Macaca fascicularis: one gene and its partners. The protein of the gene in region 1 interacts with the protein of each later gene in a pairwise test. Links are inferred from orthologs where the notes say so. Each region holds a gene or a part of one and is shown on either strand. Other genes may lie near its edges.

Region 1 (4,169 bases):
AGGGCCTTATTTCAAGGATTCTCGCCCTTCCTTTTGCCCAAGAATCTTCTAGGGGGTTTACTAAAAAAGTGGCTGTCCTTTCCCAGACCTCAATTCAGGATTCAGCTTCAAATAAGTGGAAACTAGACATTCCTAAAGATTCTCACCACCACATAAAACTAAAACAAGCTCTTTACTGCTTAGGATTACAGGGCAATTTCCAGCAATTACAGTCATTCAGGGGTTCTAGGACCAGCCTGAACTGCACGAGACCCTTTACTACTTCTCACTCTCCGTCTCCCCACTGGCTTTTGACATTTTCCCTGCTCAAGTGCCAAGCAGTATTTGAAAGGCTGAGGGAAAGATCGAGACACTAACTTCTCATGGACAGCTCTAATTAAAAAAGAAAATGAAAAACTTGTAGAGTAAGAAATCCATTTGCCTTTAAAAACTAAAATTTATGATTAGCTGAGCCTCCTCCCATTACCAAAAGTTGGCATTCCCTCCACTCTACCCAGACGTTCCCTGTTTATAACACTGTTTCATCACGTCATATTGCCATCGTGACTTCTTCCTCCACTAGAGGACGACAGCTGTTTTGTAGTCAGCGCCCACCACCATCCCTATTACATAGTAGGTGCTTTAAATATGTTCGCTGGCTTTTATTTTTGCCCTGTCTCCCAATGGATAATTAATATTGTATTGGATCTGCTCTCAATCCTGGCATAGGTAAAACGTTATTTTCTAGAACTCAGTTACCGGGTTATAGATGATATTCTGTAGGTTGTTTAATGACAACATCATCCTTTTCCAGCTTCTTGTTGGAGTCTCTTCTGTGTATGACCTGAGATTTTAGGCCAGTTTCATTTAAAGGTTACCTGGATTGAAACTGAGGCACTGGCCCTGTGTAAAGTAAAAACAGAGGAAAAGAAAAGTAAGCATGCAGCATTTTTCTTCATATCCTATTTTAAAATTTAAATTATACATTATGTTACTGATATTTACCAAATAATAGAATGTTATTACAATCAAAGATCTGCCTCCCATTCTTACCAGTGTGCTCATATACTAAACAATTTTGGATTGTGAGTGTAGGAAATACTGACTTAGAAAATACATCAGTAGAAAATTTCTAACATGGAATTTATTATTAAAAATACTAAAATAGGCCAGGCATGGTGGCTCACGCCTGTAATCCCAGCACTTTGGGAGGCCAAGGCGGGTGGATCACCTGAGGTCAGGAGTTCGAGACCAGCCTGAACAATATGGTGAAATCCCATCTCTACTAAAAATACAAAAATTAGCCAGATGTGGTGGCATGCACCTGCAGTCCCAGCTACTCAGGAGGCTGAGACAGGAGAATTGCTTAAACCTGGGAGGTGGAGGTTGAAGTGAGTCAAGATCGTGCCACTGCACTCCAGCCTGGGCAACAGAACGAGGCTCCATCTCAAAAAAACAAACTAATTAATTAATGGCCATTACTAATCAAACAGTCCTGTACAATTATCAGAGGTATTCATTTCACTTTTCATTTCCATAAAAGGACAATAATTACAGTATTCACATCATTGGTTTGTTCTGAGGATTGAGTTAATAAAATAGTGAAAGAGTAAGTGCTATGTTAGCTATTATTATTGTGAATAAAAAGAATTGCTCTTCTTCCTCCAATTTAAACAAATCAAGGTGTGGAAATCCAATAATTTTAATACTATTAAGATACAATTTTCTCTGCTGCTTTAAAAAAAAAAAATCACAGGGCAGGGGAGTGTTGGAAAGCATTAGCCACATTTTTTAAGATAAAAGCACCCATGGACACTACATTTAATAACTCTAGGAAAAACTCGATGACTTTAAGCAGAACTAAAGGGGAAACGAAACTAGAGCTTCCTGTATTTTACTTCCAGCAATTGTCATTATACCGCACACCAACAATACACACCGATCAAATCTATTACTTTTTCTTTATTAAGAAAAAAACTGTACCCCTCTTGGTTTACCACCTAAATATAACCCCAGTCTATGTCATTAACTTAATTCGTTAGTCAAAACCTCAAAACTCTGGCTCCGTGACTCAATACAGGAAGCAAGAACAAGAGCAAAAAGAATGGATGCCGAGTTGCCATACACATGTGTGATAACCAGCGAGTGACCCAATTTAAATCATCGGCTTGCATTAAATCACGCAACCCCTGAAGTATCCCCAGGGACAGGTCCCGCCAGCATGACCACTTCGTATGCATCACAAGAAGCCATCACTTAAGTTTCACGTACGGTCAAAGGAAGTCACATGACTTGCCCTTTGTAATGTTTAATACTGCAGTCAAATGACTCGGCATCCTAAAGCGCGTGTTAGAGGCAGGGAAAGCAATGTCACTACAAATTCCGGGACGGAAGCTTCCCCAGATTCCTCCACTTGAAGGTGGCTCTAGGCCTCAGGTTAGGAGGGAACAGGGTAGAAAGCAGCACAGGTGCGGTGGATTTGCAGCGAGGAGACACCCCAGGACAAACAGCCTGACTCCAGCCAGGGATGTACAAGAAAGGCCGCGACTCCTGATAACCCCTTACGCCCCGGAGCAGCCTCGCCTGCAGAGGCAGCGTCCCCGCCACCCAGCCCCGGCTCTGCCGCGGTGAGGACCTGCGGGTTGGGGTGGAATGGACACTGTCCCACCCATCAAATTGTGATTTAGGAGCCGTGACATCCGAATGCCATCCTCCACTGGCGAGGCCCTCAGAGCAGCCACCCCCCTAGCGACTGTCCCAGTGGCCGGGGGTCGCGCTACTCACCCAAGGACTGGTGTTTCAGGCGCTCCACGGAGCAAGTTGTCCGTCAGCCGCTAGGTGCCGTCCGGTTCCCGGCTGGGGCGTCCGTGGGCGGCTACGGGAAGCGACAGGAGTCAGTCCTCCTTCACTTCCTGGCTCTCCCGCTGTGGTCTCCCCACCCTACCCGCGCCGCCCCGTCTGTGTATGGAGCGTCCCTGGCGGCTCTGCTGGATTTTGGACAGGGACCCGCCACTGATCGCCACCCAGCTCGGCCTCCTGCACAGCCTCTGGGGCCTTGGACCGCGACTGGCTTGCTGTGGGAGAGCACAGAAGATAAGGACAAAGAATGTGTCCTGGGTGGATCTGGCTGCCTTTGCCCCGAAGGCGGAGTGGGTGGAAGGTGGTAGGAAAATGGGAAGGAAAGAAGAGAAAGGCTTTCTCTTCCGCAGCAAGTGGGCCGACGTCCACTTGGCTGTTCCAGGCCTCCAGGTCTAGGAGGGCGCTCAGGGCTGGGACTTTCCGGGACCCGGGGTGATCACCGCACAGGCCCCGCCTGCCTGGACCCAGCGCTGGCCTTCCCGGGGCGCCCAGGTCCACGGGGTCAATGCCAGGGTTTTCTCAGCTTCCTCGTCTGCCTCGGAACGGAGTCCAGACAGTGCCAGAAGAGACCTGAAGGCACTGCTTTTTGAAGGTGCACACCTCTGGATGTAGGCGAAACTGGGGGAAGGGTTCAGTACCTTGGACTGTGCCCAGCTCAAAGCGCCCCATCCGTTAGCGATAACATGGACTCGTAGCCACTCCGCGTCACTCGCTAGTTACCCTGCGCGTGGGTGTTTTCTCCAAATTGGACACTTAGGGAACAGTTTAAGCAGTATGGAGCACAATTCTGTGCGTATTAGATGCTCCGTAAATACCCAACTTCTCAGGGCTCTACACTGATAGTTTGACCTATTGGCTGTAAACACACCAGCCAGAAATATAAATAAAGTTTGAAACAAAGTCATGTCAGCCACTTGGAATGGCTTGCTGCTTATTGTTTGTTTTGTGTTAGGGACCTCAAAGTTCTCATCTTCTCTACTTAACTTTTATCCACATTTGTTTGGAAAGATATATTTTAGTGTCACCAACATGGGCTTTCTCCTCCTTGGCTTTTGTTTTCATTATTTTTTATTTTAATCGAGGAATTCATTACAAGTCCCATAACTGGGAACTCATGTTCTGATTCACTGTTGCTTTTCTCTCCTCCTTACCCATTTTCCAAGTTAGATACACTTCTCAAGATCCAATTTGAATAAGTGAATTTACCCTTGACATACACTGCCTTGGATTTATAGTTATCTTCTGGTGTGTGTCGTGTGTTTTATCTGTCCAACTCGACTGTAGTTTGAGAATGAACTTGTCTTATACATTCCCCAGTGCATAGTGTAATG
Region 2 (2,547 bases), on another chromosome or scaffold:
AACTGCAACAAAAATGCTCCCATTGTTGAACATATTTTACCTAAGTATATTCTGCTCGTCATATAACCTGTCAGGAAGCTGAAACTTGGAGTCTCCAAAGCTGTTGCTTCCTAGGACTGCTGTGTCCTAACAGCTGGCATACGAATGCCTAATACTGGTTTGCCCTAGACTCAAACTTTTTAAAGGATTCTAACAATATACAAACTCTGCTTCCACAAACAAATACAAGTGACATATGCTGCAGTTCACATATAGCAACCCAAAATGCCCCCAAGTCTAAATATTACATTAACATCTTCAATAGCTTAGTTTGCTCAGAACAAATGTAAACTATTTTGATAACTACAAAAGCAGCAAAATCAAAAGCTGGTACTTTAAATTATTCACATGCACATTATAAAAGGGAAAGGGAATACAGTTCAGAAGAATTTTAAAGGCCCAAACCAAAAAAAAGATGTTCAAGATGCTAGATTAATGAAAAACTCACAAATAAATGTGACAACAATGAAATTATAGATCTTGGAAAATGTGTCCTCGTTCTTTAATGTTAGTGAGAGTTCTATACAGCAGAGACATAACTGAAGAAACACATTACTTTGATTTGGGTTTATGCATTGTACTTTTAATCACTTACTGAGAATATTTCAAATTTATATTCTCATCAGGAAAATGTAAAAAAGATACTGATATATATTCTGTGATTTTATGCCACAAACACCCCTGTTATGAGATCATTTAATAGGAAAACAATATTGACATCTCTTGTTCCATTTTCCCATTAGATATATACATACAACTTTAAGATAGTTTAAAAATAATCATTCAGGTTATTCTAAAATTTTGTCATAAAATTAGCAAAATATGCCTTCTGTTAATTGCTAAAACCAACATTTCACATATAAAAAGCATGTGATCTCATTCTACATGCAGCTCTATTTCTGGAAATTAAAAACCTATCATTTCATGGGCTAAATTATAGAACTCTCTGTATTTGAAGAACTACTTCACAAGACTGTTATGATAAATGCTTTTTATTACATAATATTTAGTAGTCATGCTCAATCAACAAGGTCAACAGAAACTTGTGAATATTCTGCTAAATAATGTAGCACACTAATACATACACATTTTTCAGTGCAGTAACACTGAAATAATCCTTGTATCCTTTATTCAGACAATTCTGCAAACTAGGGAATAAATAAAGATAACACACAAGAACTTTGTTTTAAAGCAAGTAAGATTAACAGATTAAAATTTATTGATAAACGAAAGACTGACCCTGATCCTAGTAACACCGAACTCAAAGTAGCTCCTGGTCAGAAAGTGCAATAGAGGGTGCATGAAGGAATCGCTCTATGGTCTCCTCAGTGGTCTATTTTAGGTGATTTTTTTTGTTTGTTTGTTTTTACCGCTAAACTGTCTTAACTCATAATAAAAAGTAACTAGTCAAAATTTAGAACATTCTGATCAAAATGGGTCTGCACATGCCTTTCAAACACCTGCTGGTCATAGTCAGGAGGGAACTGCTCGCTGCACATCGGGCACACCTTCCAGTGACTTTCAACATGTTCTTCAAATTTGCTCTGATCGTAGTTGGGAGGAAACATTAACTCACAGAGGGGACACTTCTTGTGAACATCAAAGCTTAAAGAGAAAAATGAAAAAATTACATATTTCTAATAAATGTAGAACAACAGTAACTTGTCCGTATATGACAAGGTTCCATTTATCTAGTTAGCTGATATTCATACTAAACAACCTACAAGTCTTTACTCCAGAAACCTTTCTCTGCTTCTAAATGCTTGCTGTAGACAATTGTGTAACCCATTTATAGAGCCTCTAAATTTAGTTTTACAATTAGATTAACAAAACTTTTCCCCTTAAAACCTTCCAAATCCAATCACAATTATGTGAAATTATTAGTACCAAGAATTCTTCCACGTTTAACAGAAAATGCCTTTTGTAAGACTGTAAGGATAAATACAACTCATAACTTCCCACCAGTGCATTTGGTTTAATAGCTAAGTTTTTATGGCACTGGTTCTCAAATGATTGCATGCATCAGAATCAGTCAGAGGACACGTTAAAACACAGATTGCTGGGCCTATGCCCAGTGTTGGTGTTTCTGGTTCAGCTAGGCCAGGCCCTACATATGTGCATTTCTAATGAGTTCCCAAGGACCACCTTTGAGAACCACTGGCCTAAATTAACCCAAATTATACAAAGGAAAGAAAAATCTACCTGGAATCAAAGCAAAAGCCTGTCCCATGCCCACGTAAGTGTTGACTTGGAGGATCAGGAGCAGTAGGCACATTCTCATCTTCCTAGGGGAAAAATAATTTTGGAACTTTTAAGGAAAGTAAAACCAAATATAAATTCCTTAATTCAATCAAGCACATACTGACTGTATAAAAGAAGATTACACTTCAGGAAATTTTCTCTCTGTTATCATTTAATTAGACTTTCAAATAAACATGTTTGAAACTCTGCAGAGTATTTCACTATGGACTAACAGTGTGGTGTTCTTGAAATAAAAAGCAGTATTCA
Region 3 (4,431 bases), on another chromosome or scaffold:
AAAGCTCTCCATGGCAGCACTCTCAACCTCTAGGCCCTGCCTTGAGAGGACAGGCAGAACTCACACTGCTGCTGCACTGAGGACAGAAGGGCACCTACTGAGGGCCCATGGGGAGATGATGCTGGCCCTTCAGCTCTCATCCACCATCCCATCTTCTTGCTGACCATCCTCCCATCCCCGCCACCTCCAGCTCACCAGGCACAGCTGGCTGCACTGATGATGGGGGATCAGAGATGGGTACTGCAGGTAGACAATGCGACATTGGTCTGGGCTCAGCCGGGGAGAAGAGACAGCCAGGGAATCATCTGAGAGGAGCTCTGGGCCAGATGGAAACAAGAGCATCACGCAGGCTGGCAGGGCCAACATGTGTCAGCAAAGCACAGGTGGGCATCAGCCACTTACCACACTTCCCCCCGATGAGGTCCACATAGTACAGGGCTGACCTGGAACCGCGAGACAGACATTCAGTCTCAAGGCCAGCTGGGCTGCAAGGTCCCTTGCCTTGCCCCACTCCCTCACCTGCGATTGGTGCAAAAGCGGATGCCCAACCGGAAGGGCTCATGCCACCAGCCCACAAACACCACACCAGCATCTCCAGGGGCCCAGAATGCCTGCAAACAAGATCACAGGGCAGAAGTGAGCAAGGGATGGTAGCTGAAGAAGGGCCCCAGACTCCAGGAGGGACATAGGCTGTTGCTGCTGACCTGTCCAGGGGACACATTCTCAGGGACCCCCTCAAGCACAGAGATGTTGCCACTCTCGACATCCAGCACGCAGAGCACAGGGATGCTTTTGGAAACCATGTTTTCTCCCCAGTCTTCGTAAAACACAAACTGATCCCCCTGAGAACACAAGATACTCAATGCCCAGCCTGTCTATAGGACCTGCTCTGCTTCCTAGAAGCTAGTGCCTCCCCAGGTCTGACAAGCACAGTATGGGAAGGGAGCACACTGAGCCCCAGGGCTGCCCTGCTGGGCCTTCGTGGATTGACCACGAGCACCTTGATGGGTTGGTCTGGCTTCTTCAGCCTGGCTATCTCATCATCGCTGGCACTGACGTCCAAGGCTTTGGTCTGAAAGAAGGACTCGGCCTTGGGGCGCTTCCTCTCTGCCACATACAACAAGTGTGTCTCCGAGTGCGACCAGGACAGGCAGCCAAAACAGTCTGGGTGCAGGGAGGGCCAATCAGGGGGGGGCCCAGGGCTACGGCTACCCCTCCTGTCCACCCTGCCTGCTCACCAGCCAGATGCCTCACCATCCTCATAAACAGGCCCATGTTTCTCCAGCACTGATAGGTTGAAACTCTTGAGCTTCCGGTTCTTCTCCCAGACCTGAGGACATCTGGGCATTAGGCTGTTTGCCCGCTAACAGAGCCTTATCTGTGGGGCAGAGCCTCTCTCTAGTCACCCACTACCTGGTCCCATGTAGACTCACCTCCAGGAACTGCTTCTCTTCCCCAGGGCCCGTGCCTCCAGCCTTGCGCAGCACAGCTTTCATGCTGCCTGAAGGAGACTCTCTGCTCAGCAGTCTGTGGACATGGGGTAGCACAGGTCAGGAGTATCTTGCAATAACCCCTTCCTGCTCCCTTACTGGGCACCACCTCTTAGGAGAGATTCTTGAGGCTCTGGCCCCACACCAGCTTCTGGAGCACCTTGCCTTTCCTCCCTGAGGCAGAGACTCTACTCTCCCCAGCTCCCCCAGGCCACCACAGGCTCTAGTCCAGGTGAGTTTGGAGCAAGCCTCCGTTGCTTATCAGGCCATGTCACCAGAAACTGAATGAGCTCCCAAGGGGGCAAGAATCTGGCTCCTGGCCTCCCTTCTAGGCACATGGTGGGCATTCACAAAAGACTTGCATTGCAGACGCTGTGGCCTTGCTCACAAGATTCCTTCCTCAAACTTACTCCCCCCGGGTCTCCACACTGTTGCCTGCAGGTCCGGCAAACACCACTGAGTCCCCGTCATGGAACACCAGGTATTGGCGGCAGAATCGAATGTTCTCCATGCGTTCCAGGTCCCTCTGGGTCCACTCTGTGAGGAGAGGCATGAGGCTGCTCACCTTGTCTTGGCTACTCCTGGCTACTGCCCCCCAGCCCACCTGACCCAGGAAGGCCTAGATCTTCCTCAGTCTCTCAATCTGTCTCCAGACACTGACACCCTGGCTGCGGGCTGGACAACACTTGTCCACAACCCTAGTCCAGGCCTCCAGAGCCTGAGCTGACAGCCTCTTTGAGAGAACCCCCTAGTAACAGCACCCACCCTGGAATCTTGAGGGCAGCCTGGCATGTGTATGGGATGGAGTGTTGGCGGAGCACCCTACAAAGTCCACGCCCTGAGCCCAGGTTTGAATTCTACCCCTACACCATCATCTCGTGCACTCATGGGCACCATCCGATAACGCCCCGCACGCCCCCGCCTCCCCACACACCTGTGTGCAGGGACCTGTGGGAGTGTATCCTCCAAGTACAGGCCGGCTCCCCATACACCCTTACACACTGTCAAGCAGCGAGCCCTCCACACCCGCTTCCTTCCCACCCCAGTGCGCGACCCCGTCGCCAGCCAGTTCCCCTTCGCACACACACCAGTGTGCACCGTCCGGTACTGGCCGCCGTACTGTGTGGTGACCTCCGGGCCCAGGCAGGCGGCGCTCAGCGCGGGCTGGCGGCTAAGGCCCCGATACAGAGCCGCCGCCTCCTCGGGCTCGCTCAGCAGCACCTGCGCAGGGGACACACCAGGGTCAGGCCCGGTCCGGGCTGCAGGGACCACGGGGACCGCGGGCCGAGCCCTCACCTGACGTTCCATAGTCTCCTCTCTGCCGCCTGGGCGCGGCGGGGCGGGGGGGTGCTCGCGCCCGGAAGTGAGGCTTCCGGGGGCGGAGCCTGGGACCGCCCGGGCTGTCTCCGCCCCTGCCCTGCGGCAATCTGGGAGGGGGGGCTTTCGGCGAATAAGCGAGAACCGTTGGCAAGGGGCGGGCCTTGACGGTGAGAGGACCCGGCCTGGCAGCGAGAAGTCCCGGGTGGAGAGAGCAGGGGCGTCGAGAGGAGGAGCTGGCCTTCCAGGGGCGGACTAGTCAAGTTGGGGGCGGGGCCGTGGGCCAAGTCCCGGGCCTCTTACCGAGGGGCGAGGCGTTGGATCTCGGAGGAGAGAGGGCGGCCCTGTGGAAGCGGAACCCGGGAGCCGGGCTTCGGGGGGGGTAGAAGGGCCTACGAGAGAAGCGGGTGAGACAGGACTGCGAGGCGGAAGCAGCGCGGTCGGACGGGCATGGCCCGAGCACCTGAAGGGCGAGGCCCGAGGGGAATGGGACCAATGAGTCTCTGAGGATGAAGGGCGAGGCGGGCGGGTCCAGAGTGCAGCCCCGCGAGGAATGAGGAGCCGGGAGCCCGTGAGGGTGAGGGCGGGGAGGGGGGAGCCGGCCGCATCGTGGATCTCCCGCGGCTCTGGGGCTGACTGTAGGGTTCCTTCGGGTCCACTACCAGCCGACATTCACTAGACAGTGCCAGGCCCTGCCCTGGAGGGACTCCCAGGCAGACGAAGAAGAGAAAGGCCAGAGTCCGGGCGGAGGGCGCAAAGCAAAGCCCTGGGGTGCGGGGCAGAGGGGCGAGTGCCAACTCTCAGGGTGCTGCCTGGGCTTATCAGTCACCAGGCCTGCCGCAAGAGCTATCTATCCCCGCAGCCTTTACCCACCCTTCTCAGTGGCTCCTTGTTGGGGACTGTGAGCCGGTGGGTTCCTTCCCCTCCTCCCCAGGCCTCAACCTGAGCTCTTGGGTGTGGGGACCCTGGTGGGCTCAGACTCCACCAAGGTCCAGGGAGCTTCCTGTGGAAAGAACCTAGGCAGGCAGGCTTCCTGTGCACGTGGCACAGGATTGGCTGGGCTAAGGTGCCAGCAGAGATCAGGAGAGGCTGGACAGTAAGGATGTCCCCTCCATATACCTGAGTCTGGCTGGTCTTCCACATCAGGGCCCTGGCTCCCTGCTCCATGGTGTGCTTGTGATTGAGAGTCCACCTGTCTGGCCTGCAGCTTCCCCTTTCCCATCAGCCGCATCATTACTTACTCAAGATTACTAGTTAAGTTAAAAAAAAGAGTCCTGGCCGGCCGGGCGCGCTGGCTCACGCCTGTAATCCCAGCACTTTGGGAGGCCAAGGCGGGCGGATCACGAGGTCAGGAGATCGAAATCATCCTGGCTAACATGGTGAAACCCCGTCTCTACTAAAAATACAAAAAATTAGCTGGGTGTGGTGGCAGGCGCCTGTAGTCCCAGCTACTCGGGAGGCTGAGGCAGGAGAATGGCGGGAACCTAGGAGGCGGAGCTTGCAGTGAGCCGAGAATCGTGCCACTGCACTCCAGCCTGGGTGACAGAGTGAGACTCTGTCTCAAAAAAAAAAAAAAAAAAAAAAAAAAAGTTCCGGCCGGGCGCGGTGGCTCACGCCTATAATT

Evidence for each region.
Region 2: the proteins of LGALS8 (region 1) and TAX1BP1 interact in binary tests that used the Homo sapiens proteins (3 or more experiments, as listed by UniProt). The link is inferred for Macaca fascicularis from reciprocal best matches to the Homo sapiens genes LGALS8 and TAX1BP1.
Region 3: the proteins of LGALS8 (region 1) and APEH interact in binary tests that used the Homo sapiens proteins (3 or more experiments, as listed by UniProt). The two-hybrid records come from large-scale screens. The link is inferred for Macaca fascicularis from reciprocal best matches to the Homo sapiens genes LGALS8 and APEH.

The regions. Positions count from the first base shown.
Region 1 is NC_088375.1:12,615,904-12,620,072, forward strand, and holds the start of LGALS8 (galectin-8), read right to left. Parts: upstream 2,838-4,169; 5' UTR 2,764-2,837; intron 883-2,763; 5' UTR 784-882; coding exon 739-783; intron 1-738.
Region 2 is NC_088377.1:102,440,409-102,442,955, forward strand, and holds the end of TAX1BP1 (tax1-binding protein 1), read right to left. Parts: intron 2,325-2,547; coding exon 2,242-2,324; intron 1,645-2,241; coding exon 1,443-1,644; 3' UTR 596-1,442; downstream 1-595.
Region 3 is NC_088376.1:112,691,150-112,695,580, reverse strand, and holds the start of APEH (acylamino-acid-releasing enzyme), read right to left. Parts: upstream 2,832-4,431; 5' UTR 2,799-2,831; coding exon 2,787-2,798; intron 2,712-2,786; coding exon 2,579-2,711; intron 2,028-2,578; coding exon 1,901-2,027; intron 1,528-1,900; coding exon 1,434-1,527; intron 1,331-1,433; coding exon 1,255-1,330; intron 1,165-1,254; coding exon 1,001-1,164; intron 843-1,000; coding exon 705-842; intron 612-704; coding exon 520-611; intron 444-519; coding exon 403-443; intron 318-402; coding exon 196-317; intron 1-195. UniProt on the Homo sapiens protein: This enzyme catalyzes the hydrolysis of the N-terminal peptide bond of an N-acetylated peptide to generate an N-acetylated amino acid and a peptide with a free N-terminus. It preferentially cleaves off Ac-Ala, Ac-Met and Ac-Ser.